7 linked regions of the Oryzias latipes genome follow. The main gene of each other region encodes a partner of the protein of the gene in region 5 in a complex. Links are inferred from orthologs where the notes say so. Each region holds a gene or a part of one and is shown on either strand. Other genes may lie near its edges.

Region 1 (4,034 bases), on a different chromosome or scaffold from region 5:
AACTGAGCTTTATTAACCTCAACTCATTTAGATAGCAGCCTCTAAATCAGTGCGAAAGATTTGTACTAGAAAGCTCCAGGTTTTAAGGAAAATACATCCAATGGACACAGTTATTAAAGGAATTTTAGAGAGTTGAGTTTAGATTTTAACATATTTGTGTTGTATTTTTTAAAATATCCCTGTAAGAATTTTAAAAATGAAACCAAACGTACATCTATTACAGCCAAACTAAAGAGGATTACAGGTTTATATAGTGTACATCCTGAAGCTGCATGGTAGCAAGAAGTTAACAGAGGCTGGTGTCATTAAATATTAATACAAGCAACTTATTAAAAGACGAAAACTTCAAGACATTTTTTTTGTGGATAATAATATGCAAATATGTGTTGTATGCAGGTTGAACCACAAGCCCATTCATTTGAGTTCTCCAAGTTCTTCCAAATAAATGAAGCTTGTGCAGTCTTTGTTCATAAACATGTAACATGAGAAATGAAGACTGTAGAATTTTTTTTTTTTTTACATTTACCAGTAATTTACTTTTACTAGTAAATGGCTTAGACTTGTATAGCGCTTTTCTACCTTGCTCAAAGGCCCAAAGCGCTTTACAGTCATAGTCCCATTCACTTATTCACACAAACATTCACACTGATGGCAGCTCTGCTGCTGAACGCTGGCGCCAACCTATATTCACCAGAGGCAAAGTGGGGTTCAGTGTTTTTAAATGTCTTTACTCTTTAGGACAATTTTTAGGATAATTGACCAACTAATGCTTTATATTTGATATTGACTCAACATGAGATGTATTCAAATCATCCCTAAAGTTGAAAGTACAGTACTTTTCTGCTCAACTTTGTAAACATTAAAATCAAATATAATAAGCAGGATTTTAGACACTTGTAAATTCCCACTCCAAACATCTTTTGATCCATTTTAAAAGCATTCCGAGTGGTCTTTTAATTATGATTATGCTATTTTTTTTGCTAAAATCAAAAATATTCATCGAAAGTTTCAGCAGAGCGGCAGTAGTTCATTAGAAATTCCCCTCTGAGTTGTGGGCAGGCCTGTCCTGACTTCCCATGGTTCCTTTGTTTACAGCCACTCACAACCCCAAGCTAACATTTCAGACGCATCAAAAATAACAAGCAATGTTGGAGCTTTCCAGCTGTACAGTTTTGAGCCGGATACCAGCTCGGAAGAGGAAAACAGAGACGTGCAATCATTCATTTGTCTGCAAGTAGATGCACCGGAAAAAAGTGGAGCAAGGAACTTGCGATTGTAGCGCCTACATCATAGCTGCAGGCTTTTTTAAAACAGCATTTTTCGTCTGCTCCTGATTAACAATGATTTGAATAAAGAAATAATCAGAAATGATATTTTAATCTTAATTTTCTTTATATACTGTGTGCCCTCCATCATAACACTAAAAACATTATTTTCATCTTGGAAAAAAAAAATTCTAATTCCAACCAGAATCACTGTTCTTACTGTATCCATTGTGAGGGAGGAATGTCTTCCTCTGGTGTTGTGAGTTCTTGGGAAATTGTTCTTTTCATTTAGAGTGTTGGACAAACTTCCTTCTGTAGGGAAAAAAAAAGATTTATTGATAATATTGTGAGTAAAAAATATAAAATTGAAATATCCAGTTCGTTTTACGGCTTCTTTTTTGTAATATAAATAGGTAAATATAAGTAAAACATGAATTCAAAGATATCTATTATTTTAAATAAACAAGGTCTTGTACAGTCTAATGTCAGGCATAAAAATGACAATTCCAAATACAAGTTATCATTTTGTCAGTTTAAAGACCAGTCCACAAATGATAAAACTGTTGACATACCCTTAAGACTGACGAGAGCCTCTGCCGAGGAACCTGAGAAAGAAGACAAAACGAGCTGCATTAATCATTATGTACAAAATAACACAGCATAAAGATGAAAAGGCTAGCGTACAAAAAAAACAATGCAACAACAACAACACAAAAAAGCAAGCGTACTACACACAAGCTAGTTCAACCAAACCCATCATGACATCTGTCAACGACTGGATACGTTGACTGGCAATTAAGGCCTTTACTTTACCTCAGTCCGAGCTGTCAAAACCAGGACTAACTAGCAAAAAAATAAACGAGATGCGGTCGCCTCGGTTTTCAAGAACTATACAATACATTAGCTGCGTTCAAATTATTTTCCATTGATGAGAACCTTTCGGTTTTCAAATTAGACTTTAAAATGCGAAATAACACACCAGAAACTCACTTAAATCCGCATTAGCTAACATTTAATATATCACTGTGTCGCGAGAAAATAAAAATAGTATTGACCAAATACACCGATACCAAACTAGCAGGCTAGAACGTTGAGGAAACCCTTTTGTTATTATTACCGATAGCGACACAAAGTTAGCAGTTGTTGGCTCCTAGCTAAGCTAGCAGGCATAGTTTACCCATTTGAGCCAAACTAACTAGTTAACCCTACATTAGCTATGGTTAGCCGCTCCAGCTAACAGACGTTAGCTGATTTGAACAAACCGGTGTCTCTTTTACGTTCAAATTGACCTTCTAAATAAACAAAAATCTTGAAGTGACCCCTAAACGAAAAATTAAATTTGTCTGACAAAACGAGTTTCGTCTGATTAGGTGAAAAGCAACGCTCTCTTATTCCACTAACTCGGTAAATTCGTGTTTTTACTCACTCTCGTCTAACAGCTGGTCCATCTCCGCCATCTTGAATTAGCCGCGCTGCTTTTTCAAAGACGTTGTCAAAATGCATTCTGGGTCGGGAATCTGTGGAGGGCGATTTGAGAAACAAGAGTCAAAAACGGCCCGCAAAGTGAAGGTTTGCCATCAAAGTCATGGAAATAACACATTCACGGTTCTAAAATAAACTCCTTGTTTAATTTATGGCACGAAGAAAGCACAAAATGCTGTTTGAATGGACTTGAGCTCTTTGGATGTTTCGATTGGGGGATCATTCAGATTTATTATTGTTTTGATTATGTTCATAACTTGTATTTATTAATATGAAAGCATTTTATTTATTTATTTATTTATTTTTTAATTTTTAATTGAAGTAATGTTACCCTTGTTTGGATAGTTTATCACATATTCATATTTTCAACCTATTCAAACACGACCAACTCTACATCAAAATAAGACTGGTATCGTTGCTAACTTATTGCATTTGTCTTCCAACAGCTGTCTTCTGACAGTGTATTAATCTGTCTGTACTTTTTTTTAAAACGTTTTATTGTAATTGTTTGCACGCTTTACGTAAAGAATTAAATGAAATAAAAGTAAAGCAAAATTCCCCAAATATTTGCTTTGTTTAAACTTCTGTAAAAACAAAAAATAAACAAATAATTAAAGCATAGGATTATAATGTGATGCAGAGACTAAAACTTGTAAAATAAGGTAGGCAGAAAATGGGGGGACTGGTGTGCAATGTGTGATACTTTTAAAATATTTGGATAACATTCTGAAGTTACAATAAAAAATATATTTGTATACATATTTTTGGCAAACCCTGATTTGTAGATTAAAACAAAGATGCACAATCTTGGATTTTTTATTTCTTTTTTGTGTACATGCCAGTATTTTTAAACATGATGGCTGATAATAACTGACATCAGATATGTCAATCTTTCTTATCAGATGTAACACAAAACCTCCCATACTATATTTATTAATGAGTTTATAACTATTATTAGTTGTAAAATGTTTTAAAATACCCAGAATTCTCTGCTCCTTTACAAAAACAACAAAGATGTTTATCTGCATTAGAGATTTTAAAATATCCCATCTTACAATTTCAAATTAGTTGATTGCATATACCAGCAATTATTAATTTACATCACCAAAAACAAAATGCTGCAAATGTTACACCCACAAAACTTGCTAGAATAATATAGCCTATGTGGCAGAGTAAAAGTACTAGTTTTTTATTATAAATCTGTTTAACTGAAAAGGAAGGAACAGTGTACTTTTAGAAATCATTTTTCAAAAGTTACTTAGATAGGAAAAAGAAATGAATACTTTT
Region 2 (4,185 bases), on a different chromosome or scaffold from region 5:
AACCTGTTTGGAATTTGAATGTGGAAGCAGCCAAAGACTTCAGCGGCAGAGAATTGCGTGGAAATGCTTTTAGCCCCCCCTAGTGGTGAAGTGTCTTTGTTATACTTACACTCCTCTAAACCCAGCTGGTAAGCCAGATTCTGAAGTCCTTTGACTTTTTCCATCAGATTGGCTGTAGTCAGACTTCCCAGCTCTGCAGAGGTATAACATCACACTAAATAAAAGCATTTAGAGATACTTAATTAGCTAAAGAAACATGAATTATTATTTAAAGTCCCACTCGGATTTGATCTTTTGATCTGTTGTAACCCTTGTGCTATCCTAGGCACTTTAACGTTGGGAGTTGGGTCATGTAGACCCACTAGACAGTGCGCTGAACTTTTTTTCTTCAATGATTTATGATCTTCACTGGTGTCCATGGATTACATGAAATCTTTCCACCTTTATCCACCTTTGTCATGGTCGGAAGAACACGTCAATGTAAGGGTGGGGTCATCTAAGATAGCACAAGGGTTAAAAGGCGTTCCCAGAGGTCTTTTAATGAATGATTATGCCGTTTTTTGCCGAGATAGAAAAAAAACACTGTGTGATTTTTAAGGACAGTTAGAGCAGAGCTGCAGTAGATCATCAGTTTATACACTCTACTGCTAGCTTACAGCCACTCACACCCCCAACCTAACCTTAGAAACGAAAATGGCGAGCAATATTGATTAAGAAATAAGAAATTTCAAACAGCATTTTTTCATCTGCTCCTGATTCACAACGATTTGAATAAATAAGAACTCAGAAATGCAATTTCAAGCTTAATTTTCTTTATACGTGTCCTCCATTATCAGATGTCAAGATATCAAATGCCACAAGAACATGTTCAAAACACGGTTTTTCTTATCAGAGTGGGTTTTTAATGTTTTCCCTAAGGTTTATACAGGATAAATGTCAGCTGTCTGAACCAACCTTTCAACATTTCAATGTCCTCACTCTCCAACTCAGCCATCCACTTTGGAGGAGAGGTGGTGATAGGCTGCAATAAAAAGAGAAAAACAACAACATACAAAGTCTCAACTCCAATCAGTCTATGCAGAGTCAATCCTGCATCTTTAGATCAGAGCTAAACTCACATTTTTGCAAGTTGCCGCAAACTCTGCAACTCCAGGCACTGTGTGAGAATTCACATAAAGAATCAATTACAAAGTAATTTTTTATCAGCTGGGCGTGGGAGGATAGAAACTTACACTGCTCTGGCCACAGGTCAGGTGATGCTCTGTCCAGCTTCTCAAAACTCAGCAACGAAATCTCAAAATCCTCCCCTGCAGAAGCACACAGTGGTTCACTTTGACATGTTCTTTAGTTTTTTAAGTTCTATGCTTTTGGAAATCAGTGGTCAACTATAAAATTCAGCCAAATGTTAATTTAAAAAAAATTAAAAAGTAACTTTTTATAAACAGGTCAAAAATTGAAACCTAAAAACAACTTTTGTTTCATGTTTTATCTAGACAGAAAGAGAGGAAAAAATCTAATATTTATCTGGTCTTAAAATTAGGCAGTTTCGAATGAGAATAAATGGTTTTATTCATTTAAGATTCGTACAAACACTGATCAATTAAAATGTTCAAAGAGGTCATAGTCATGTGGTGATCTGATCATCTACTAATAACTCTTACACTGCTGTAAAAATATGTTTGGCCATTTAAACAGAAATGCCTCGTTGATGTGAGAGATCAGAGGAGAATGGCCAGACCGGTTCCAGCTAATAGAAAGGAAACAGGAACTCAAAGAACCACTGGTTTCAACCAAGGTCTGCAGAAGAGCATCTCTGAACAACCCTTGAGGCAGATAGGCTACAGCAGCAGAAGACCACACCTAATGCTGCCATTACTGTCAGCTAAGATCAGGAAACTGAAGCTTTAATTCACACAGGCTCACCAAAACTGGACAATAGAAGATTAGAAAAACATCTGGTCTGAAGAGTCTCCATTCCTGCTGGGACATTCAGATGGTAGCATCAACAACATAAAACCATAGATCCATCCTGCCTTGTATCAACAGTTGAGGCTGCTGGTGGTGGTGGTGTGATGGTATGGGGGATCTTTTCTTGGCACACTTGTTAGAGACACTTTTCTTTCTTATTTGTCTGTATATGTATAAAGGGTTTTCTTTCTTATCAACAATTACTTTTGCTATCAAATCTGAACACTGGTCCTTCACCAATATAGAGAATTGTATCCAAAATTTCAATAACTCTTGACAGAGTGTGAATTACTAACTAATAACATTATTGGTTCTGCAGACTGTTAAACTTTTTAGAATTTGCTTTCAACATTTTTAACACATTAAAAGATACTCATTACGGACATAATACTTAATAGCAGACTGATTCCATTTTCAATCAAAGGAGTCGAACAGTCACACAAAATCTAACAAGCAACCAAAACAGCTACTACTAATTTAAAGTAGAGAAAAATAACTAAGTGCTAAATGTAGCACTGATGCTAATTCGAGCCAAACGGCCAAACGAAGCAACAAGAAGAACAATCTGGACTGCTGCTGTCATCATCAACGGCGGACAATGTCAGTCCCAGAATCAGGAAAAACAAAGGAAGAAAAACAAACCGATTAAACAAGAATTTAGTCCTACGACAAATTTTACGTTACCTCTGGGTGTTCACATTACACTGCGTTATAACTGTTAACGACTTAAATGTCTCGAAACTGTCACATTTGCGATGTATTCAAAGCGTATCGGAGAGAAGAATTAAAATTTACCTCCATTTGGAGACGCCATCTTCAAAATAATCATGTGACATGCAACAACCAATCGCAGCGGCCGCGCTCTGTTTTGAGGTGTGGCGATGTTTTTCAAAATTACGCCGCTAGAGGGCGGCAATGGTGCTCGCGCTGTTTACAAGAGGCACAGAAGATTACTGTTCGTTTTATTCAAAGATTTATATCGTCTTAGAAATTGTAGTACGAACATTACTGTCATAACTTAATGAAAAGACCCTTATTTAAGCCCACCATAGTCTCAATGAAATGTTACAATGCTGGTACATTTTATGGTTTTACCTTAGGGGACATTTAAATCACCTTTTATTCCCTCTAGTTTTTATTTCTGGAAAGAAAAACCATAACTCAATTATTAAACAAGACTTTCACATCCCAGATTTGGAATGTTTTGCATTTAGTTTATATTTTTATAACAACAATTTCTTGCATTTAGTTTACTAGGCCCATGTTTCACAGATTTTACAAGTTTGAACTTAAGTATACATAAAAAAACGGTACAATTTATTATATATATATATATATATATATATATATATATATATATATATATATATATATATATATATATTGAGTTTTCCAATTTTTTGACTTTGCGGCACATCTCGTTTTGTGTTTGTAAATTTTGCAAATATAACAGGACATGAAATACAAGAATAAAACAATTTATTGATCAACATAATAAAAACACAAAATCAAAAGTATAATACTAAAGCTCAGGACAATCTCAACTAAAAATACATGTAAAATGTTCTGGCTTTAAAAAAAACAACAACTACTGTCTCTTTCAAATGGAATTTAGTTTGTCACTAAAGGCAACTTGGTGACAACTCCAGTGCATCTTAAAAGATTCTACAATCTGCTTTCCAAACTGACTGAATTCACATTTTTTCTTACAGAAAGACAAATGAAATGTTTAGACTCAAACTGATGTTTTGAAATTCCCTCGGCTCAAAATGCTCCGTGTCTGTGACATCTTAATCAAACAAGGATAACTAGAAGTCCCAGGAGTCTATCCACTTCAGGCCTGCCATGGCACTGCCCGGCTCATGGGCAAGAGGACCCATCATGCCATAGGACAGAGGATGAAAAAGGTAGAAACTGGAAGGAAGACAAAGATCTACTCAAAATCAACAAATTCTTTATTGCCTTTACATTCCCACCAACTAGATGTAAATATGAGGTCTGCCTTACAGTATTTAGCACTTTGCAATGCAAAAAGTTACGAGAAGAGTTACTTTCACCTGATATAAACTGCAAAGTTAGGGCTCTCTTATGAGTCTCACCTGTAAAGGATGCTGAGCTGAAGTAGCAGCCATCCACCAACTTTCAGCCGGTCAGAATAAACAGAGTGGAGCAGCAGGTCAGAGCTTTTAAGAAGGATGTCCAGTGTAACTCCTGTTG
Region 3 (4,312 bases), on a different chromosome or scaffold from region 5:
TTCAGGGAGGTGTCGTACCTCGACTTCTCCGCCGTGCTTCGAGGAACTGGAAAAGCAGTGAAAAACACGCCGCCTTAAACCTCCTCCACAAACAAAACACACATCCAGGTGGAAAACAGGTGATCCTCCGACTCCAGCTGTGAAGACGTTCCAGCGGCACAGGCAGGCCTCGTTTGGACCACGCCATCGAAACTTTTATTTTCTTTAAGGTAATATTTATAACCAGCCTTTAAAGAAACTCCAAGCCCCGCCCTCTCTGACGTGGCCACGGGACCTGGATTTCGGAGCCACGGCGGGTCTTTTGGTGGTTTAAAAATAGAAATCCACCGATGAAGATTCTGCTGAAGGAAACATCTTAGAACTGAACGGTCAAATGTGGATTTCAGTGATAAAAAAACAAAAGGAACTGAGGCTCAGCCTTCAGCAGAAATTCTCCTTCAACTTCTCATCCCAACGGCCCCAAACGTCTGCGGACGGAAACGCTTCACGCAGCATGTGGACGCCATGATGTCATGAGTCAGTCTGAGCGTTACGCAATCCAAAAGATGTAAAATGATTGGTGGTCCTGTTCAAAAACACAGGACCTGGACTGCTCTATCCTGCATTAAATTAGGATTTAGATAGTAAAGAATTCATTAAACACAGTTTCTGACTCATGAAAATGTGAAATAGGAGGATTTTATAGTATTTTACGCACCGGGTCCTCCTAAGACCCGGTCCTTTTGAAAAACCGCTGGACCTGGACTCATTTTTATTTAATCATTTTAAAGTTTTTGTGGCTTTCCTGCTCGCAGCGCTCTGTTGTTTGGGATTCTGTTGCCTCCCCTCTTGTGAATTCGTGTCGTCTGCCTGCAATGCAGCTCACCAAACGACGGCAGACTAAAAATAGATCATTTTAAATTGATCAACTACATAAAATCATCCCATTTCAATGTTCATAAATCAGAAGCTGTGTTTAATGAATTCTTTACTATCTAAATCCTAATTTTAATCCAGGTTTGAGCAGCCCAGGTCCTGTGGTTTCTGAAAAGGACCTGGTCTAAGGTGGTCTTAGGGTGAAAAATGCAGTGGAATGTTCCTTTAGTGCCCCCGCTAACCGGACGCCAGCTTCAGCGCCGTGAAAGGATGCCGAGTCGGCGCTCCTGCTCCTGAGCGTGCGGCGTACCTCTGGGAGGAGCAGGAGTAGAAGGAGGTGCTTGGCTGGCGGAGGATCGGGTGGTGCTGACATACTGGTGGTCGCTATCCAGGTCCAGCTTCCTCTTCACCTAATCATCAAATGAAGAGGAATCGATTATGTGAACCCCGGCGTGTGATGATGTGGCGGCGGCGGCCGCCTTGAAGCCACGCCCTCACCGGAGGTCTTCCCAGAGCCGGCCTCCTCCTGTCCTGGCCCCCCGCGTCGGCGTGGCTCTGCGGCGTGGCGAATAGCAGGATTTCCCCCGTGCTGCTGGGGGCGGCCAGCGGGTGGAGTCCCTCATTGCTGGGGCTGGTGATGATGACGATCTGGTGGTCCTGGCTCAGATCGATGCTCCCGGAGTTCAGCAGAGTCTCAAAGTCCTTCAGCAGATCCTCGGATGTCTGACCCGTTATCAGAGTCTCTGACATGGCACTGCCTGCCGCCCAAAGGGCTCCTGCAGCAGACTGGGGGAATGCCAGGGAGGGTGGGGGCACCAACTGGGGTATCAAAACAGGCTCAGCACCAGGTGACCCCAAACATGTTAGGAGGACTTGAGGAGAAAATGCTGATCCATTAACCTCTCCTCCTCCTCCTCCTCCTCCTGCTGAAGGTTGACCTACAGCGAGCCTGAAATCTGCAGATCAACCACAGAGGAGTCGAAGGTTCAAACGTCAAGGCGAGACGTGGAGCCCAAACAGGAAACGACCCGCTGAGCGCATCCTACTTTAGGCTCACGCGCTGCTCGGCTCGCGCGCCGTTTTCAGCGGAAATAAAAGAAGGTCAAAAGACGAAGTAGAAGAAGAAACCCGCCGTAAATTGAGATCATGAGCGAGCTAGCCTGCTAGTCTTTCGTTTTCCTGTCAGAGGCCTCGCCACTCCGTCCTCAAACACAGAGCTACCAAGCTAACGAACTAGCTTACCACAAGAAAAGACTACAACAACTTTGCTAATAAACACGAACAACAGCAGAGGACTACATTTACCACCACTACCTAAAAGTTTATCTCCTTTTCCCTACGATATGGCTTCATTAACGGGTTCGGAAAACTTTATAGACGCTCACAGAACTGGGCTATCTAAGCAATAAAAAAAATACACATTCACTCGGCGGAGGCATCATGATCGCAGATCCACACCATCTTTGAGAAAATAGTTCCCAAAAGAAAGCAACCATCCGTCCGGGCGACGGCGACGACAGAGAGTTTAGCGCGGAAATACGGGGAACTTTAGCATGCTAGCTTCAGGGATTAGCTGCAGTTCTTCGGTCCCCCTCGTACTGTTGGGGCACGCAGGAAGCACTCGGAGAAACGCGGGAGATGCAGACAAAACGGAGGAAATACTCGCTCAAACGTTAAAAAATGTGCCGATGCTCCTTCGTCTGCTCGCCGAAGATCGGGTCCATCTGTAAACGAGCCGCGCCGACCCCATTAGCAGCCGTCATTGTTGTTGTCCCAGCTGATCTATATCTAAACAAGGCTGGACGGTTTTCGCGCGAAATCCTTTTTGCCGCGAAACTGGCACGTGGGGAAAAGCGACCGCTGGGATTGGCCAGTGGGATTCGTTTTGCGCGTGACGCGATTGGTGTCTTCCGATTGGTGGAAATGGCCGTCTGTCACGTTACAGAGCATGGGGAAAACTGGCCTTCCATGTGACCAGGTTGGTGTTCTCTGATTGGCGGAGATGGCCGTCTGTGACTCTCCAGAGCACAGATTTGCTGATTGGGAGGTGCATTCACGTTCCACGGACAAAAGGCTTCTTAACTGCTTTGTTTAGGAAATTTTAAACAAAATAGTAAAACACGTAGTGTCAGTTTCATGTAAGGTTTCCCAAAACTAAAAGATAAACTCCTTTACCATATTAAATATATGATGTAACAGTCTTTGCGTCCCAGCTTAAAAAAGTTACGTTTTTTCAATGTAGTCCCTAGCGCTCCCTCTCCGTTTAAGCAATCAGATTAACAAAAAATAAAGTTAAATCTGATTGCTTAGGAACTTTCTAAACTAGAGTTTTCTGGGGGTCTGAACCAAATGTGATAAGTTTTTTTCTATTTGCAAATATTAATGTAAGCATTTCATTGGGGGGTCTGCACCTAAAGTAACAGACCCTACCAATCGATCACCGATGGTAAACAGGAGCGCTGTAAGATGGCGCAGACAATATTCGAGGCGCTGGAAGGTACAAATATAGTCTTATTTACCGCGCAATTATTAAATATGTTATATGCCAAAGAAAACCACATCATGTAAATTAACTGGAGACTTGTTTGAACACTAAATCACCCTTTAAACGGGTATTATGTAGGCTGTAAGCACCCTGAACTGAAGGGTTCTGCCTGATCTGATGATGATGATTGTAAACAACCTGATTATATTTTAAAGATTAAGACTGTACTGCTATAAACGGCTTTTTTTGTAAATGTAATATTAATTATTTCTGTAATATAATAACTCATCTCGTATGTCAGTGTAAAAGCTGTACATGTGACAATAAAAGCTATTCATTAATATGTGAACATGCACTCCTCGCGTTATTGTTTCTGTCACTTTCATGGAGAAGCAGATCTTCTTCTAACATGTTGTAAAAAGAAAAGCTGTTACTGATGTTAAATCCCTGTTTCCCTCCATCCCCTCAGGCATGGACAACCAGACCGTTCTAGCAGTCCAGTCCCTGCTGGATGGCCAGGGGGGAGTCAATGACCCCAACAACCAGAATGTGTCTGCAGGATCCACCATCCAGTCTATGGGTAAGGAGCATTCTGCACCGAGCTCCACAGGACTGCTACAGATTAAGACAACTAAGCTCAAAGTTGCATTTCCGAGTATTCGTAAAAGATCGCATTTGTGACGTAGAAAATCCGCCGGGCGGGGCCACAGGCTCCCTGCTCCGCCCCATTCTGATGCATCCACTTGCAGACAAATAGGTTGAGGGGCTTTTATCTAGTGTGTAAACAAAGAGCTCTCAGCAACAAGGGGGTTGCTCTGTGCCAACAGTCACGCCCACAGCTCCTGGCGCTCTGCAGAATCTATGTTCTAGAAAACAAACAGTTTTTTTCCAATGTATTTTTGGCTAAAAACGAAAAGAGATCAGGGGATGATTGGAGTGGAACTTAAACCTTCTTCCTCTCAAAAGCCATGT
Region 4 (3,965 bases), on a different chromosome or scaffold from region 5:
TGATCCAGAACGTGACTTGCTAATTGAATGGCAGCTTACCTTCTCGTCTTCCTCTTTAGTCCACGGACCTTTAACCAGCTCGGGATCCAAAACCTTAAACCAGCGGTGCTGACACTGGTTCTCCGAGTGGTTCTGGACCAACAGAACAAGCGTCAGGTTTGGAAAAACGTCCTAACTAAACCTCTGATCCCGATCATCTCCAGATCAATCCCAACATGTTTGTCACCAAAACAGTACTTGCAAAAAACGATATTGAAATAATTGTTAACCTTTTCTTCAAAAAAGACAAACAATTGTTTAAAGTACTTTAAAAAGCAGTTTTCTTTCTCTCTCTACAGGATTTGAAAAACCAAAAAAAATGTTTTTTTCTGAAATATATGTAACTTTATTTTTTGCTGCAGGTTTGTCCTTGTTCTTTTGTCATCAGAAATAATGTGCAGATTAAATCCTCTCACCTTAAATTTTTTTCTGCAATTTGAAGGAATTTTTATAATTTTAAGTCTTTTAATCCCAGATTTTTAGTGCAAAAAAAGTTTAAACAAACAAAAAAAACATCAAGTCACCCAACTTTGACAAATCCAACATTCGGTTTACCAAAATCCTACAAAAGGGGATTCTCTTCTTTGGGAAAATTTGAACTAGGATTAAACTCTAAATGCTTTATAAAAGGGAAAACTGAATATTAAAACTGCCTACGGTAATCGCTGAAACTTGGTTTTATATTTTTAAGTCTGAGCAATAAAAGTGTTGGATAATTGCAAGAAAACATTTCAGTGAAAGAAATCATAAAAGCAGAGGCGGAGCTAGAAGATTTTAAAGGGGGGGTGGAAGACTTTGAAAGGGTGGCAACAAGAACTTTTTTTTAAAATAATTTTTTTTAAAATTATTTTTGCAATACTTAAAGAAGCTAGTATTTATGATTTCTAAACCTATGAAAATAATGATTATCATATCAACTCAAATATTAGGAGGCTAAGATTTATGCAGGGGGGGGGGGGGGGTGCCCCCTCTTGCCCGCCTGTAGCTCCGCCCCTGTATAAAAGTAAGATTTCGTAAATTTGTATAAATCAAAGTTCCTGCAGTGCAACACAAAGTGATGATCAGACAGATACGCCCCTATTAGACCTACAGGGAGGTGGCTGCAGATTCGTTTCCAGTCATTTGTCCCCAGTTTTTGAACCAGACCTTTGAGCTTGTCGTCCTGCAAAAAACAAACAAACACAAATCATTTTTGTTTTACGCTGCAAAACCACGAGGGCTACTATATCAGTGTTTTTCAACCAGTGTGCCGTGGTGCCGGGGGAGATGGTCTGGTGTGCCGTGGGAAATTGCCCTCATTAACTGATCTAAAAAGATTTCCCAACTCCAGGATAACAGCTCTTTGTTCATCCAAACAGGCCCTGATAAAACACTGAGTAGTTAGGAATATGAAAGACCATAAAATACATTTTTCTTTGTGTTTATTTGATTCTATTAAAGACATGTTGATAAGAATGACGGTACCGTGATTTAGCCGCAGCTACAGTTGTATAAGGAATAGTCCCGCCCCTTTAACTGTCTCCACCAATCATTCTTGGAGGCTCAATCACACGTCAACAGTCTGACCAATCAGAAGTGGTTAAAGTCTTCACTTCCTTGTTCCGATTCTGCTCATAAAGTCTCTCAGTTCCAACAAAAATATCAGCTAAAGCTCGTCTTTAGCGGTGCAGCTTTCCACAGAATCTGGTATCAGACCGTGGAAAAAGTGGACAAAAGAATGAAGCTCAGAGACGCTAGTCTTTCTGCGTTCTGCGGCTGTTTGCACTACATCTCCCATGATGCATTGGGTTAAAGTGACAGCGTCTTAGCGCAGAATGAGTCGTCCTTGTTAAACGTCTTGAAACCACAACGAAAACAGATCAAACAGTTTTTAAATCTTTTAACTTAACTTTTATTACATCTTTTAGAAAAAAAACAGCTGCAACTTCCAGCTTTTTCTGCCACAATTGTCACAAAAATGCATGTGAGATTGCGGAGGGGCTGTAGTAGATCAATACAGACTGACTATAAGTTTTTCCTTTTTTCTCTCACATTTTTGGATGCTGGTGTGCCGCAGGATTTTTGTCAAGGTTAAAGTGTGTCGTGGCTCAAAAAAGGTTGAAAAACACTGCACTAGAATCACAGGCCCCACTCAGGGTGAACTTTTACCTCCTCCTGCGTCCATCTGACCTTTACTTTCCCTCCATCCCTGAACTCCGTCAGATCGGTGTCCGTGTCCGGATGCGCGGCCTCCTCCCCGTCCTCCCTGCCGGGACACATTAAAGAGGTTGAGATTTGACCCTAAAGGCGCCGAAGAAAGACCGGATCCGCGGGATTGCGGCTCAGCTTTACTGACAGGAAGCAGTGATCTGGAAAAGTACCGGCGGTGATTCTGGTCGGAGTTTGAGCCAAGTCCGGAAAAAAGGCGGCAGTCAAAGTCCGCGCAAACTCCCCACAACCCGATCGGAGCAGAAGTCAGCTCATCAGATGCAACATAAACAAACAAGCAAACTTAAAAGCAAACAAAAACACGGATCTTACCCGCGCGGCCACGATGACATTTCCCACTGTTATTTGGGTCAAACGTGGACTTCACCGGGCTGGGCTGCAGGTGTTTGCGGGAAAAACCTGCAGGTGACACGGCTGGGTCGTTGCAGGATGTCCAGTTCTGACGAAAGAACCTCGACTGCAGTTATAATAGAGCCGGGAAGCCACAGCTAGAGGTAGGCGCGAGCTTCGTCCGCGCGCCGCAATTTCTATCTCGCGCCCTTCTCCGTACTGCTGACTCTCAAGTGACGTAGGTGCTCCGTAGATCTGCGCAGAAGGCTTCAAACCTCTATGGATGACCTTCAAAATAAAATGTTAAGACGCTTTATAATAAAATAAATGTAATGTTTGGTTGATTCAAAATGGTTTTTAATTAGGTGCTGTAATTAAGATTTATAAAATAAATAAATAATAAATAAATAATTTAAAATATAATAATAATAATAATTATATAGACAAAAAAATACAACATAGAATTGAAAAAAAATGATATAGACAAATAAATGAATGAAAATATTGAAGCAAAGATACATTGTCCTAAAAGAAATAATTACACTACAAAACCAACTTAAAAATAAAAGAGCCAAACTAACTTAACTAACTAACTAACTAACAAATAAATAAATAAAGCTAGAAAAATAATAACCCAAAAAGTTAAATTTAATCTAAAACCGGAAAACAGTTAAAAAAAATAATGAAAAGGTTAGTTTTAAATGAATCAGTATATGAATATATAAAATATTTGTGAACTCTTCTTATAAGCTAAGATAAAATGATTAGTCAATAGTTAGGTCTTTTATGATTGTTGCGAGTTGAAGGTAAACATTGTTCATCTTATAACTTTTCTTTTAAGCTCAATCTTCTCAATCTCAGTAAAAATTTGGATAGAACAGTTCTCATTAATTAAGATCAGCGAACAGCTTCATTTAGGCCTGTAATTTAATTTGACTTTTAAAGTTTACTTGTAATTTTGATTTCACATAAGAAAATTAAACAAAATTCAAATATTTGGATTAGAAAATGGTTTATTTAAAGCAATCAAATAAGAATAGTACACAAAAACAATACAATCATCAGTTAGACATTCATACAATGACCTATCAAACTGATATAAATATCAAAATATTATGATTAAAAAATAGTGTATTAGTTTAGGGGAATACATGTACTTATGGTTAACTCTAGGGCACTATCGCCGGGTGAATTTCCCCAGAGAAAAACTACTTACATGAAATTCAATATGTTGTGTTTAAATTCTTTTTAGGAATTTTTCTGTTCTCAAATTCCTAATTTTTCAGGAATTTTTGAGCATATTTTTAGGAACTCCCTATGTTTTTCTTTTTCATTTTGTCATACATCCCACAGTTGAAAATAAAAGAAAACCACTCTAATTTATGTCT
Region 5 (4,124 bases):
TAAAACATGTGCACAAAACTGAAAGTTCTTACTTGAGGCGCCGAGCCACAATTCAATAAATGCAGCTTACCGGTGCGCCTTCAAGTTAGCAGTTCGTTACCTGGCCTTTTCACTCCCTTTCAGCTAGCCGTTCAGCGGAGCAGCGACTCTAACAATCTGATCTTGGCGGTGTCTCACTTTAGCGGCGTCTGATTGGACAGCAGGAACGAGACGAAACCATTGAATGTTACTACAGTCAATGGACGAAACCAAGTGGAGTAGGGGTTCAAAATCTCTTGGGGTTGTTGAACACTATCCAACTTCAGGAAAACACGTAGCGCCATCTGCTGGACTGGAATGACATGAAACTACAAGCATGACTAGTTATTGGATTCTTATTTTACTGGATTTAATTATCCTTTTAATTATTTAAGTATGTGAATGAAAGGCATCTAAAGTAAAACTCTCCCTCATATAACCTAAAAAAAATAAGACGAGCCTTGCATTACAAAACTCTGTTTATTCTGTCTTGCTATGGTTTGTTCTTCTATATTTGTTTTCTGGCTGCAATTACTGGATTATTTTTGCTGCTTTACTGTGTTAAGCAATCTTTTGTAATGCTCAACCATTCATCAATAAAAATAAATAAATAGAAAAAGGTTAACTCATGGCACTTCTGAACCCTTAATTTTTTGCAATTTGAACAATGAAACTTTGGAACATAAACTTTTATGAACACATACATAGGTTTTCTGGATAAACATTAGACGTTAAATTAGACGTCAAATTAAGTTTACATTCCCCCTATATGTGCTATAGTTGGATTGACTAGATAATTCATTGACAAATACTATTAATATTATTTTATTACTCAATAAATATCACGCTCATTGAAATAAATGGAGAAGCAGCAAACCCTCCTTGTCATGTTGTAAATAAATGAATTCAAAATATATTACCGATCATTAAAACTTCCAAAAAGAATCAATCCACAAATATCTGCTTGTTATTTTTTTTAGTTTCCTTGTATAATTTTTTTGTCTCCATTTTACAATCCTATGTGAGAGATTGTACATTACAGTGTGTTGTTGATTTATTCAATAAAAAAAAAAATTGGCACTTCAGAAAGTAACAAAGACCTTTGAAAGATGACAGCTGAAATGCATAGTTTGAAAATTAGTAAACATTAATGTATGTGTTTGTGCATGTGTGAATGTATGTGTACCTGTATGATTGTGTATATATATAAATTATATGTATTCAGAAGTAAATCAATTGAATGTTTTTTTTTGTTTGTTTGTTTTTTTGATGGGCTTCGACAAGCAGAATGCTTCAGCCCAGACTCCTTGGGTTAATAAAGATTACCGGTGTTGTTTAAATTAATTACACCAATTATTATTTTTCATTCCCAGGTGTTAACGATAAACCAGGAGGACACATAATTGAAAAAAGGTGAGGACTGTTACAGTTTACTTTTTTTTTTTTTTTTGTCTGACTCCAAATCCCAGCACTCACCTTTGGCATTTATTGCATTAGGCGTGATAATAAAGGCATTCTATTCTATTCTATTCTATATCTACAAACACTGCCAAGTTAAGAATTTAATGCAGTCATAATTAATTTGATAGTTTTCTATCTGCAGTGGTGTGTCTATTTGGCATAGTTCTCTCCAACTGCATTTTTGGAGGTTTGGTGTCGGAATTTTTGTCCTATAATCAAAGTAAATTCCTAGCTGGTGAAGAGTTTAGCAATGCTGAGTTTATTGGGTGATACAGAAAATAGTGCTTTCTTTAAACTCTGTTGCGAGCTGAACATTTATAACTATGTCTTAGGCCATCTTGTTATAGTAATTTCATGTTACAGCCTACATAGCGACATGGTCAGAAGTCAAACATTTTCACTAGAAAATAAAATAAAATCATGAGCAATGACAGAAATTTTCTTAGTGGTGTAGTTTCCATCATCAAAGACATCTTTTTTCAAAGAATGTTTGCTAGATTTTAGTTGATGATCTATCATCTTCTTCTTAATGTTCCAGTTCCTCTTGAAAAAGTAAAAACATGTTATTTTTGTGATTGTTTTAAATAATTGAAAATGTTCTTCTCTAAAATATATAAGGGGGTAAGACCCACAGCATGCAGGTCACTAAGCAACAAGATTTAGGAATTTGGCATTTTATTACAATGAAAAGCAATGTGTTTCTTTGTTTATTTCTTTTTTTTTACTCCATTGTTCATTCTTTTTTGACACACACACACACAGACACACATGATGCGTTTACTGTATACGAACATTAACATGATGTGTTTCAAGAACTACTGAAACACATCTCAAATAAATCTTCTGCATTGGGGCAGAAGCGGGACATGAAGTCACCTGTGCTGATGTGATCCACGCTGGTCTCCAGAGCCAACAGGATCAGCTTGAAACACCTACCAATGTATTTCTTTGAGGTCCTGAGACAGCACACATCTCCCTGAAGGTTCTGGGGGACTCCTTCCTGTCTGCAGGCGATGTGAAGGCAGGCGGATGCGATGGCGACGTTGGCGCGCCCCTTCAAGCTCTTCTGCTCACAAAATTGGTGGAATAAGTTGTTGGTTTTGTCTGCGATGTTCCTAGGGAAGTTTACAAAAATGTTCATTTAAATACATGAAAAAAATGTTAAATGTCTGAAGGACTCGAACAAATAGGTAGAAAAACAAAAAAAGAAAGTTTTTAGTAAACATTACATTCTATTAAACATCTTGAAATTGCCACGAATTGGTGTTACACTGTTACAGTTCATTACAGAGGAGCTTCATTCTGCATCTTGCGCATCAAACAAACTGCGGCAGCATGGAGTAAAGAAAGCTGCACATTCACAGATAGGTTATCAAGGGCTCACTGTGTGCTGAGTTATTAAAACTTGTTTATGGGTGGACTCATTTCTTTATAAGATAAAACCGAGCTTGGTTCTTCGTCTGCTGAACTCAGATAATTCTGTTTTCTCGTGAAAGAATCTCTAACATACTAAATAGTCCATAAATAGCTTTAGCCCTCACTGTACACCTAAAAATAAGTTATATTGTGTTATATTATATTTAGTAATATTATATTATATTAGTAATATTATAATAGCTGATGAAATTATTTTTATGAATGGATTGAATGGATGAAAAAGAACATTTTGTTGAATATTCATATCTATTTGATACTGTTGTGATCTAATATTTTGTGCTAATTCTTCGCTTGTTGAGAGTTTTTAGAGGTTCCAAAGTTAGAACTTGTTGGTCATTCTTTGGTTATCAGGCTTCTGTCCTCTAGCTCCAGTTACCACTTAAAGTTTGGTGTCAGACAAACCTTTTTTATCTTTATCATTAGGCTAAAACTGTTCTGTTTGATAAAGATGGTGAAGCTCTGTGTAGTCACACAGGCTCATTTTAAAACACACAAAACAGTTTCATAAATATTTTTGAAAATGTTCTTTTAAATGACTTACATTCCTGGTTTGGCACTTTTGTTTCTCTTCTCTTCTGTCCTTTCAGAATAACACCTGAAGATGGGTGATTGACCTTCACTGGTTCTGCTGGAATGTCCCCAAATTAAACAGAAGCCCTTTTTTCTTGTGTTATCAGCTAATCCTTGTATAATCAAAATAGGAGAAAAGCAAACGACAGGGAGTGTGAACTAGACTTGTGAATAATACCTTTCTACTTGGCTCTCAGCATTAAAGATAATATTAATAATAATATTTTAATAATAATTAAAATAATAATTATAATATAAAATAATAATTATAATAATAATTTAATAATAATGTTTTGTTGTTTTGTTTTTTTTTGCATTTCTTTCGTAGACGACTGACATGTTTTTTATTCTTGTTAACATCCTAGGCACTTTAACGTTGGGAGTTGGGTCAAGCAGACCCACTTGACAGTGTGTTGAACCTTTTTCCTTCAATGATTTGTGATCTTCACTGGTGTCCATGGATTACATGAAATCTTTCCACCTTTATCCACCTTTGTCATAGTAGGGAGAACACGTCAATGTAAGGGGGGTGGGGGGTCATCTAAGATAGCACAAGGGTTAGAGGTAAATTGGGTTCTGGACAGACTGGATGGTGAACATTGCTCGTGCAGAAGCCGCAGCTGCTCTTCTTCGGAATC
Region 6 (4,094 bases), on a different chromosome or scaffold from region 5:
GTGCTTAGGTAAAATTGAGCCATAATAGTAAAAAAAAATGCACAGTGTTAAAGTAAACAAGTCTTTATTATATTCAAAAGGTTTCTGAAAATCCCAATTCTGATCCAGTTTGCGTCAAATCAAGCTCAGATGACAACTGGTACAAAAACAAAATATTTAATTTTATGAATCATTATTTCTTTAATCCAGAAAGAAATGTTCTGCTTTTTGATGTCAGACTGCATAATTACTGATTGTTATTAGACTTTCCACAATAAGGTCTTGTTTTGGCAGATTTTATATGTTATTTTTGTCAAAGCTACTAATAAATTCTACCTGGGTGATTCCATGACACCCTGGAGTCATGGTGTTACAATCTCCTTGTTTGTGCAAATATCTTAAGAAAAAACTTGCCGATAATTTTCTTTCCCATAGCAGAGATTTCAGTGTTTGCTTGTTTAATTGTCAGTCTTCATTATTTTTCTGTCATCTCTTTATTTCACTGGTTTAGGAACTTCTTTATTAAAGAAAGTTATGTGTTTGCGCTGTCATCAGACTCATTTAAATCCTTCAGATGGTTGATTAAAATGCATCTAAGTTTAAATGAAATATAAAAGCAAGTACATTTAGCTGGGGCACTTTGTTGTCACGTAAAGAGGAAAAAATAAGTATAATTGCTTGGTTGGCATTTGGTTTCAGACTGCATCAACCTGCCATCCCTTTTATTTTGATCTATAAATGTATCTTTGCTTTTACCATCAGGGCCCCAACATTACAAAGTGACAACTCGGACAGTTGGTTATACATACATCAACATCTTCCATCACATCCTGTACAGTTTTCCACAAAGTCCACGCGCGCTCACACACGGAATCCGTGGCGTGGAGGCTCTTACACAGGGTCACAAACTCCACATCCTTCTCTGTGTGTCTTCAGAAAGGAAAACAAACGTCAGAAAATCAGATTATATAGCAGTGAAACCTTCTAGACTATTTTCTAAACCACATGATTTCCTGTTATTTGTAGATGAAACTTGTTAAAACCAGTGATGAAAGTCAGGTAAGGAAAAAATCCCTGAACTTTTCTTTGAGCGATATGGCGGGCACAGAGCAAAATTTTGGAAAAATACGTGGTCTTAGATGCATTCTGGTGCATTCTGGCAACTAGTTATTCACTTCTTTATCAAGAAACTAAGACTAATTGGAGCATCATGATTTGTCATTCAAACCCCTAGTTTGACTCTCCATTAAGGACTTGCTGGTCCCAAAAAAGAATTTGGAAAATTGCTCAAAGTAACACAATCCTACAATCTACGCTTTTCCTTAAAGCTGCAAAACATACAATTGCTAAAATATAGTAACATCAAAGCCCCAAATGGCAAAAAGAACACCAGTAACTATGATATTCTATGAAAATACCTCAGTTATTTATACATTATTTCTGCTTTAGAAATGACTGATGTACAACATCCACTTGCACTGTTTTCTCAAACTATAATTACATCAAAATATGGGATCTGCTTTAACTATAATTCTATAACATAATACATCAATTCTTTAACACCAATACTAAGTAATCTGGGAAATATCAAAACAAACATACAAACTAAGCTAAACATTGTAAACATTATTTTTTAAGGGAGTGCGGGTCCAAACCATCAAATACTTGTAATTAATGTCAACTATACTGAACTAAATCATGGTAATTAGGAAATACAAATAAATTAGATAAAGAAATGTATTCAAAATAAAAACTGAAACTCAAAACTAAAATTGAAATTATTTCAAAATGTGGTTTTGAGATTATTTTACACAAAAAAGTATTTGACCTACACTACCTTAAAAATCTTTTTTTTCCAGCCAAGACCACTTCAATTTGTTTTTTATCGTCTTCTCACAACTGAGGTCGTGACCACGCTCAATAATGACGATGCCTGCCATTATTTTAACACAAATTTTATCGCAAACTCTTCAGATGTGTTTGTGAAAGTTTAGCGTGGGTCCGCCAGTTTTGGTCTCTAGGGAAGCGAGTCACGCTGACCACGTGGTGCAGACAGAGCCAATCAGACCCGTCGACGCATCCGAAAGCAACTAAAACGGCCCGTCATTGGTCAATTAGGCCGGGAAGACGAGAGATGGCCACGACCATAGAGGAAGCGATCTGCGGAGAAATATAGAAAATAAAGCTAAAATTAGCTGATTTCAGACCATTTTTTAATCCGGAAAGCGATTTGTCCGTAGAGATCAGGTCTTTATTTCCCGGAAAGTACGTTCGGTTTGCTCAAAAACCCGGATTTCCGGGAATTCCCGGAAGACTTTCATCACTGTAAAACTATGCTGCTGGTTGTGTGGATTGCGACATTCATTGTCAGTACTACTGTAGGGGTACAATGTTGTTAGCCTCGCGGTGGCTAACTCTAACGGTTCGTACACAAGCTACTCATGAAAATACTCCTTCAAAGCCCGTTTTTTGTGTCAGTGAGTAAAGAGCGTTTTAATGTGTATACTGGGAATCTGTTGTCCCCTTCCGAATGGCGACTGTTAACTTATCTTACTTGTTCAAAGAAAACTCTGGACTCCCCTTCTTGTCTGCAAAGCTTTTGTCAGAACTCGGCTTCGGCTCCTTGCTCTGTGCCGCTCCCGAGTTGCGTTTTTTAGGCGGCATATTGGAGTGGTTACTTTTCAGAAAAATGTGTACACCTTTTTGTACTTTTGTTTAAATCGGCAGCTAATGTATTTAGAGTTTAAAGCCCACTCAGTAAATTCAATGGCAACAATACAACAAAATCTGACATACTTCCTGGAGCCGTGCTTCAGTGTATGCTCGTTTTATTCAAAGGAATTGCCCCGCAGGGAGGTTATGTCGTAGCGTTTGCAAACGTTCTTTACACTGTGATAATATATCTGAATAAAATACCCTATTTTGAATTTAGATTTAAGAATATTATTTCTAAAGAAGTCAAAGCTAATTTTACTATTAAACTGTACTCTAAATCATATCAGACACCATTTTTTTAGTTCACACAGATCACATGACAGCACTTGAGTTAAATAAAACAAACTGACAGTACAAAAGCGCGGGAAAATACAGACGCAATTTCCGCTTGTTTGCGCATGCACCACAATCGAAACAAAGTTAGCACGTCTGTCAATGGCAATGACGTTGATTGTATAACAAAAACATATTTTCCTTACATCGAAAATAATAATAATTTACGTTTGAACCTTTTTTCCATTCCTGGTGGTTAGCGTACCTACAATCTAATCTGTGGTTCACTTAGTTTGAGCTCGGGTCATAATAAAAAACAAGATTAATTAAATCAAATCAAACTTTATTTATAAACCACTTTTTAATTTTAAAAGAATAACATACAGTTCTTTAAATTAAAACAAAATAAATAGTACAAAAACAAGCATGAAAATTAAAATAAATAAACACAAAAATTAAAAAATAGGGCCCCCTTCCTGTACCTACACACAGCCCCCCACTCCTTTCACACCTCCCACCCCCTAAACTGATGGGGAAAGACAATAATGAGAAATAGGCTGAGCACGAAAACAAGATGTTTGAATCGTTTGAACCTCCCTCTCTCTGAATAGCTGCATAGCCAGCCAAAATGCAGCATCACAGGCGGGGACCGCTCCACCACAGCTAAGTGGGGATGCAGGTCCCCATCTAGAGCTGCATCTAGAGGGAGAGGACCCAACTGAGGTCCTGACTAATAGTAGTAGTAATAAAAATGTATTAATGTTTTGACTTTGATTACTACTATGATTGCTACACAATACTATTAATGAAACTATTATTATTATTAATACTCCAACTCTATGGGGTTTTTTTTCAAGCCGTGGTGGTGGGGGATCCTTTTGGTTGAATCTCCTGTGTCTGTTGGGTCGTTTTCCTTGGTTTTCAGGGCTTTTTGTACCTTTTGAGTTTCATTCTAATCTTTGTTGCGATTAAAATGTGGTCTTGAGTACACACTTTGTGTGTGCTAAGGCCAGAATTAATGTATATCTAATAAAGGAAATCAAATATGAGATGTGTTTAATATATACATATACCCTCTGGCCTTTTTGAAGCTTTATGCAAATTTTACTGATAATCAAACAGATCTA
Region 7 (3,517 bases), on a different chromosome or scaffold from region 5:
CGATGACCTGGTGAACTCGTACCACCTGCTGCTCTGCTGTCTGGACTTGGTGTTTGGAAACGCTCTGCTGTGTGCAAACAGGAAGGACCTCATCAACCCGACCTTCAGAGGTCGGTCCGCTCCGCTTCTGCCACCTTTTCTGTTCACATGCAAACACGCATAAACTCCCCCCAACACACACACACACATGATCACGTTGATGGGAGTGATGTGCGTTGGAGAAAGCAGCTCCATGGAAGCCACGGCGGGCTTCAAACCACCGTTCCTCGCTGTGCGGCTTCATGGCCTCACGGGGAAGCGGGGGCCTTCAGGGGGTTGCACCAGCAACCGTCAAACTCTTCCCGTGTTTGGGTCTCCTCAGGTCTGCCCCCCCAGTACCGCGCAGACTGCCACGTGGTGCCTGACGAGCCCCCTCCCTGCGTGCTGGAGAGGTTGTGTGAGCTCCACGATGGGCTGGTGGTGGAAGCCAAAGGCATCAGGCAGCACTACTTCAGACCGTACATCCAGAAGCTCTTCCAGAGACAGGTGTGCACCCTGTCTCCTCACCTGTGGCCCCCCCAGTCTTTCCATTACATCCTTGGATTGCACAACTTCTGATGCTTCCGTTTTCTTTGCATCCTTTCAGATCTTGAGGGGAAACCAGGAGCTGCTGACGGAAATGCTGGACCCTCAGAACTTCATAGATAACAAGTACGGACGCTCTGGATTCTGACGCGGTTCTTCCGCCGGCGGCTCCTCACCGCTGCGTTCTGCCCGTTTCCACAGCAAAGCCGTCAACAGGGAGTATGAGGAGTACGTGCTGACGGTGGGGGACTTCGATGAGCGCGTCTTCCTGGGAGCCGACGCAGACGAGGAAATCGGAACGCCGAGGAAGGTCCTTCCAGATCGCTCTGCCGGTCAGATGCAGCAACACAGGGAGAAGGTGCGTCCTCGCAAACGCCGCCAAGTCGTCGCCAAAGTCGCTTTGACGTGGTCGTCCTGTGAGGAAGGGGCTCGCACCGCACCCACGAGGAAGACTAGAAACTCCTGTCCTGTCTCAAATCCATCATGGGTCAAACCCGCCATATGGCGGCCTGTGGTCAGACGCAGAACCAGGCGGGTTTGACCCCTCTGCTCCACCACGCCGTGAAAACGTCCAAACGGTTGATGGGGTCAGGACAGCAGAGAAATGCGCCGTTCCCCTCTGCTGCTGCTGCTCATCCTTTGTGTAGCTTTGCTTTCATTTTCCCAACAAACGTCAAATCATGAAGCTGCTCCACCATTTCCCGCCTCGGTGCTGGAAGCAGGCCATTCGGCAGACCTTCAGGAGGTTTGACCTCCAGTTACCTCTGGAGGAAATACCAGCGCCAGCGTTTCTATGACGATGAAGTCCAGCCTCTGACTGCAGCAGCATGTTTGTGTCTGTCGGAGCGGGGCTCTGCAGACCACCTGATGGACCTTCTTTCATTCTCTGCAGCCCGCCTCCCTCGCTCCATCCACCCCGCTGACGGGGCGGGGCTACCTGAAGGAGAAGGACCTGCTCGTCACTCCCGTCTCCTCGGCGACGCAGAGCGTCAGCCGGCTGCAGAGCATGGTGGCGGGTTTGAGGACGGCCCCCAGCGAAAACCTGATGCAGATCTTCAGGTGGGTGTTTGTCTTGGCACGCGCTGCTGAGAGGAAGTTCATATGAAAAATTTCTCCGTTTGTGTCCCGGTTCCTCCGTTTGCCCTGCAGAACCTGCTCCAGGGATCCCACTGGTTCCGTTCTGGCCCGAGTGAAGACTCTGGGTCAGACCTTCAAGGAACATTACACCAACGACTCGGAGGACACCCCGGGTTCTCACATAGGTATCCGGTTCTGCTCAGAAGCTGCCTCAGCTTCATCCGTTCAGGTTTAGTCCGGGAAGAGTGACGATGTTCGTCGCGTTTGCTTCAGACTTTGCAGAGAACCGCCTGAAGCTGGCTGAGATCCTCTACTACAAGGTTCTGGAGAACGTTCTGGTGCAGGAGACCAAGCGGCTGCAGGGCAGAGACATGAGCGTAAGTGGCGCGGCGCCGGATGGCGGGAAACGCGGCGGCCTGATCTGACAGTGCTGTGACTGCAGGCTCTGCTGGAGCAGGACATCTTTCACTGCTCGCTGATGGCGTGCTGCCTGGAGGTGGTGCTGTTCTCCTACAGCTCGCAGAGGACGTTCCCGTGGATCATCGACGTCTTCAAACTGGCCCCGTTTTACTTCTTTAAGGTAGAGACGCTGCTCCGCTGGAGATCTTTTAGATCCACTTGGGTTTTCCTCTGCTGAACCATGAGTCAGCTGGTTTAAGGAGAACGGCGGTCTCTGGGGCTGTGTGTGCAGGTGATCGAGGTGTTCATCCGCTCTGAGGAGGGCCTGTCCAGAGACATGGTGAAGCACCTGAACTCCATTGAGGAGCAGGTTCTGGAGAGCAGAGCGTGGACCGAAGATTCTGCGCTGTGGAGCGCCCTGAAGGCTGCAGGGAACGAAGTTCCCTCCGTGGAGGAGGTCAGTGTGACGGTGCTGACCAAGGTGAAGGTCATTGAAGGTCATTTAGGGTCTGTCAGGTTTACTGAGGTCTACATGTGAAGCCTGCTTTCATCTTCCTGCTCTCCAGAGTTTGTCTCAGCAATTCTGCTGAGTCATGAAAAGGTCTGGATTATTGTAGACCTTCATGTGGACAAAATAAAAACTTTGGATTGTTTTATTTTGTCTGCGTGAAGATTATGAACTTCAAACATCTGACGGTTAGAGCAGAGGATTCTGGGAATCCAGGTTTTTCTTTAAGTCACCTGACGACACACCTGGCAGCAGTCTCCTCGTCTCCTCCAACAGGTCAACTTCTCCTCCTGTCTGGACTCGGGTTCCTCTAACGGCATTCAGCCTCACCTGCCGCTGGCGGCCCACTCCCCCATCATCCACCCCCGCATCCGGGAGTTCAGGGCCGGTTTGGGGAGCGCGCGGAAAGGTGGGTGTCTGCTCCACGTCTGTGCAGGATGCTGCGGTTCAAGCACCGACTTTGCTTCCTCTGCCCTTTCAGAGGTGCCCCCCTCTCCGCTGTCGGTTCACGACAGGTACAGCTCCCCGGCGGCCGGGAGCGCCAAGCGGCGTCTCTTTGGCGACGACCCTCCGGCTCCGTCTGTGGGCCTGACCTCCCCCGCGGGGCCGCTGCCCTCCCCAGCCAAGAAACTGACCTTCAGCTCAAGCGGCAGCACAACGCTCAAGATCGGTGGCCAAGGAGCTCAGACGACGGTCGTGAGTCTCCCACTGCAAGGTGATCATTTCTCACCTGGACACTGAATGGGAGGAAAGTGGGAGGAGTCTGAGGCATGAGAGCAGCCCGAGCTGAAGGTGTGACGTTCAACCCGCAGGCATGAGCACCGACCGCACCTTCACCCTCATCCCCGTGTCTTCCTGCGATTCCTCCGGAGTGGTGACCGCCCAGTTCCTGCTGACGTCGTCCCCGAGCCGACCCGCCGCCGCTGTTGCCATGACGACCGAGCCGTACACGGGAAGCGGCCGGCCGCG

What was found.
Region 1: tfdp1 (region 5) and lin9 share a complex: the UniProt entries of both Homo sapiens proteins name them as parts of the DREAM complex. The link is inferred for Oryzias latipes from reciprocal best matches to the Homo sapiens genes TFDP1 and LIN9.
Region 2: tfdp1 (region 5) and lin52 share a complex: the UniProt entries of both Homo sapiens proteins name them as parts of the DREAM complex. The link is inferred for Oryzias latipes from reciprocal best matches to the Homo sapiens genes TFDP1 and LIN52.
Region 3: the proteins of tfdp1 (region 5) and e2f1 are in contact, whole or in part, in a crystal structure (PDB 2AZE), measured with the Homo sapiens proteins. The link is inferred for Oryzias latipes from reciprocal best matches to the Homo sapiens genes TFDP1 and E2F1. Residues at the interface, in NP_009042.1 of Homo sapiens: Glu201, Cys202, Leu205, Glu206, Glu208, Arg209, Arg212, Leu213, Arg215, Ile216, Lys219, Gln220, Gln222, Leu223, Leu226, Ile227, Gln229, Gln230, Phe233, Lys234, Leu236, Val237, Arg239, Asn240, Arg241, Glu244, Pro251, Ser255, Val256, Ile257; in NP_005216.1 of Homo sapiens: Arg202, Leu203, Leu206, Thr207, Asp209, Leu210, Leu213, Gln214, Ser216, Glu217, Leu220, Asp221, Leu223, Met224, Ile226, Cys227, Thr228, Gln230, Leu231, Leu234, Asp239, Ser240, Gln241, Arg242, Leu243, Ala244, Tyr245, Val246, Thr247, Cys248.
Region 4: tfdp1 (region 5) and mybl2 share a complex: the UniProt entries of both Homo sapiens proteins name them as parts of the DREAM complex. The link is inferred for Oryzias latipes from reciprocal best matches to the Homo sapiens genes TFDP1 and MYBL2.
Region 6: the proteins of tfdp1 (region 5) and rb1 are in contact, whole or in part, in a crystal structure (PDB 2AZE), measured with the Homo sapiens proteins. The link is inferred for Oryzias latipes from reciprocal best matches to the Homo sapiens genes TFDP1 and RB1. Residues at the interface, in NP_009042.1 of Homo sapiens: Gln222, Glu225, Leu226, Gln229, Ile262, Val271, Asp273, Asp288, Asn289, Thr290, Phe291, Glu292, Ile293, His294, Asp295, Glu298, Arg302; in NP_000312.2 of Homo sapiens: Ile835, Ser838, Phe839, Thr841, Ser842, Phe845, Gln846, Ile848, Asn849, Val852, Cys853, Asn854, Ser855, Val858, Leu859, Lys860, Arg861.
Region 7: the proteins of tfdp1 (region 5) and rbl1 are in contact, whole or in part, in a crystal structure (PDB 5TUV), measured with the Homo sapiens proteins. The link is inferred for Oryzias latipes from reciprocal best matches to the Homo sapiens genes TFDP1 and RBL1. Residues at the interface, in NP_009042.1 of Homo sapiens: Pro260, Phe261, Ile262, Thr290, Phe291, Glu292, Ile293, His294, Asp295, Ile297, Glu298; in NP_002886.2 of Homo sapiens: Tyr1004, Phe1006, Asn1007, Ser1011, Leu1014, Ile1017, Asn1018, Ile1021.

The regions. Positions count from the first base shown.
Region 1 is NC_019882.2:7,716,598-7,720,631, reverse strand, and holds the start of lin9 (protein lin-9 homolog), read right to left. Parts: upstream 2,804-4,034; 5' UTR 2,723-2,803; coding exon 2,692-2,722; intron 1,871-2,691; coding exon 1,838-1,870; intron 1,578-1,837; coding exon 1,486-1,577; intron 1-1,485. UniProt on the Homo sapiens protein: Acts as a tumor suppressor. Inhibits DNA synthesis. Its ability to inhibit oncogenic transformation is mediated through its association with RB1. Plays a role in the expression of genes required for the G1/S transition.
Region 2 is NC_019880.2:13,721,167-13,725,351, reverse strand, and holds the start of lin52 (protein lin-52 homolog), read right to left. Parts: upstream 2,801-4,185; 5' UTR 2,798-2,800; coding exon 2,764-2,797; intron 2,713-2,763; exon of another isoform or gene 2,653-2,712; intron 1,978-2,652; coding exon 1,924-1,977; intron 1,308-1,923; coding exon 1,233-1,307; intron 1,157-1,232; coding exon 1,119-1,156; intron 1,022-1,118; coding exon 955-1,021; intron 194-954; coding exon 110-193; intron 1-109. Other genes in the region: pomt2 (protein O-mannosyl-transferase 2), read right to left, coding at 3,777-3,882, 4,068-4,179.
Region 3 is NC_019865.2:2,000,227-2,004,538, forward strand, and holds the start of e2f1 (transcription factor E2F1), read right to left. Parts: upstream 2,811-4,312; 5' UTR 1,902-2,810; intron 1,812-1,901; 5' UTR 1,606-1,811; coding exon 1,354-1,605; intron 1,266-1,353; coding exon 1,166-1,265; intron 47-1,165; coding exon 1-46. Other genes in the region: znf341 (zinc finger protein 341), read left to right, coding at 3,322-3,352, 3,810-3,920. UniProt on the Homo sapiens protein: Transcription activator that binds DNA cooperatively with DP proteins through the E2 recognition site, 5'-TTTC[CG]CGC-3' found in the promoter region of a number of genes whose products are involved in cell cycle regulation or in DNA replication.
Region 4 is NC_019863.2:23,223,524-23,227,488, forward strand, and holds the start of mybl2 (myb-related protein B), read right to left. Parts: upstream 2,818-3,965; 5' UTR 2,580-2,817; coding exon 2,560-2,579; intron 2,285-2,559; coding exon 2,188-2,284; intron 1,202-2,187; coding exon 1,130-1,201; intron 133-1,129; coding exon 40-132; intron 1-39. UniProt on the Homo sapiens protein: Transcription factor involved in the regulation of cell survival, proliferation, and differentiation. Transactivates the expression of the CLU gene.
Region 5 is NC_019879.2:10,686,698-10,690,821, forward strand, and holds the start of tfdp1 (transcription factor Dp-1), read right to left. Parts: upstream 2,814-4,124; 5' UTR 2,709-2,813; intron 2,595-2,708; 5' UTR 2,416-2,594; intron 234-2,415; exon of another isoform or gene 71-233; intron 1-70. UniProt on the Homo sapiens protein: Can stimulate E2F-dependent transcription.
Region 6 is NC_019872.2:15,934,082-15,938,175, forward strand, and holds the start of rb1 (retinoblastoma-associated protein), read right to left. Parts: upstream 2,807-4,094; 5' UTR 2,644-2,806; coding exon 2,534-2,643; intron 910-2,533; coding exon 789-909; intron 1-788. UniProt on the Homo sapiens protein: Tumor suppressor that is a key regulator of the G1/S transition of the cell cycle. The hypophosphorylated form binds transcription regulators of the E2F family, preventing transcription of E2F-responsive genes.
Region 7 is NC_019863.2:32,783,190-32,786,706, reverse strand, and holds part of rbl1 (retinoblastoma-like protein 1), read left to right. Parts: coding exon 1-110; intron 111-361; coding exon 362-525; intron 526-625; coding exon 626-690; intron 691-765; coding exon 766-922; intron 923-1,456; coding exon 1,457-1,623; intron 1,624-1,713; coding exon 1,714-1,826; intron 1,827-1,914; coding exon 1,915-2,018; intron 2,019-2,083; coding exon 2,084-2,221; intron 2,222-2,332; coding exon 2,333-2,497; intron 2,498-2,824; coding exon 2,825-2,957; intron 2,958-3,029; coding exon 3,030-3,263; intron 3,264-3,360; coding exon 3,361-3,517. UniProt on the Homo sapiens protein: Key regulator of entry into cell division. Directly involved in heterochromatin formation by maintaining overall chromatin structure and, in particular, that of constitutive heterochromatin by stabilizing histone methylation.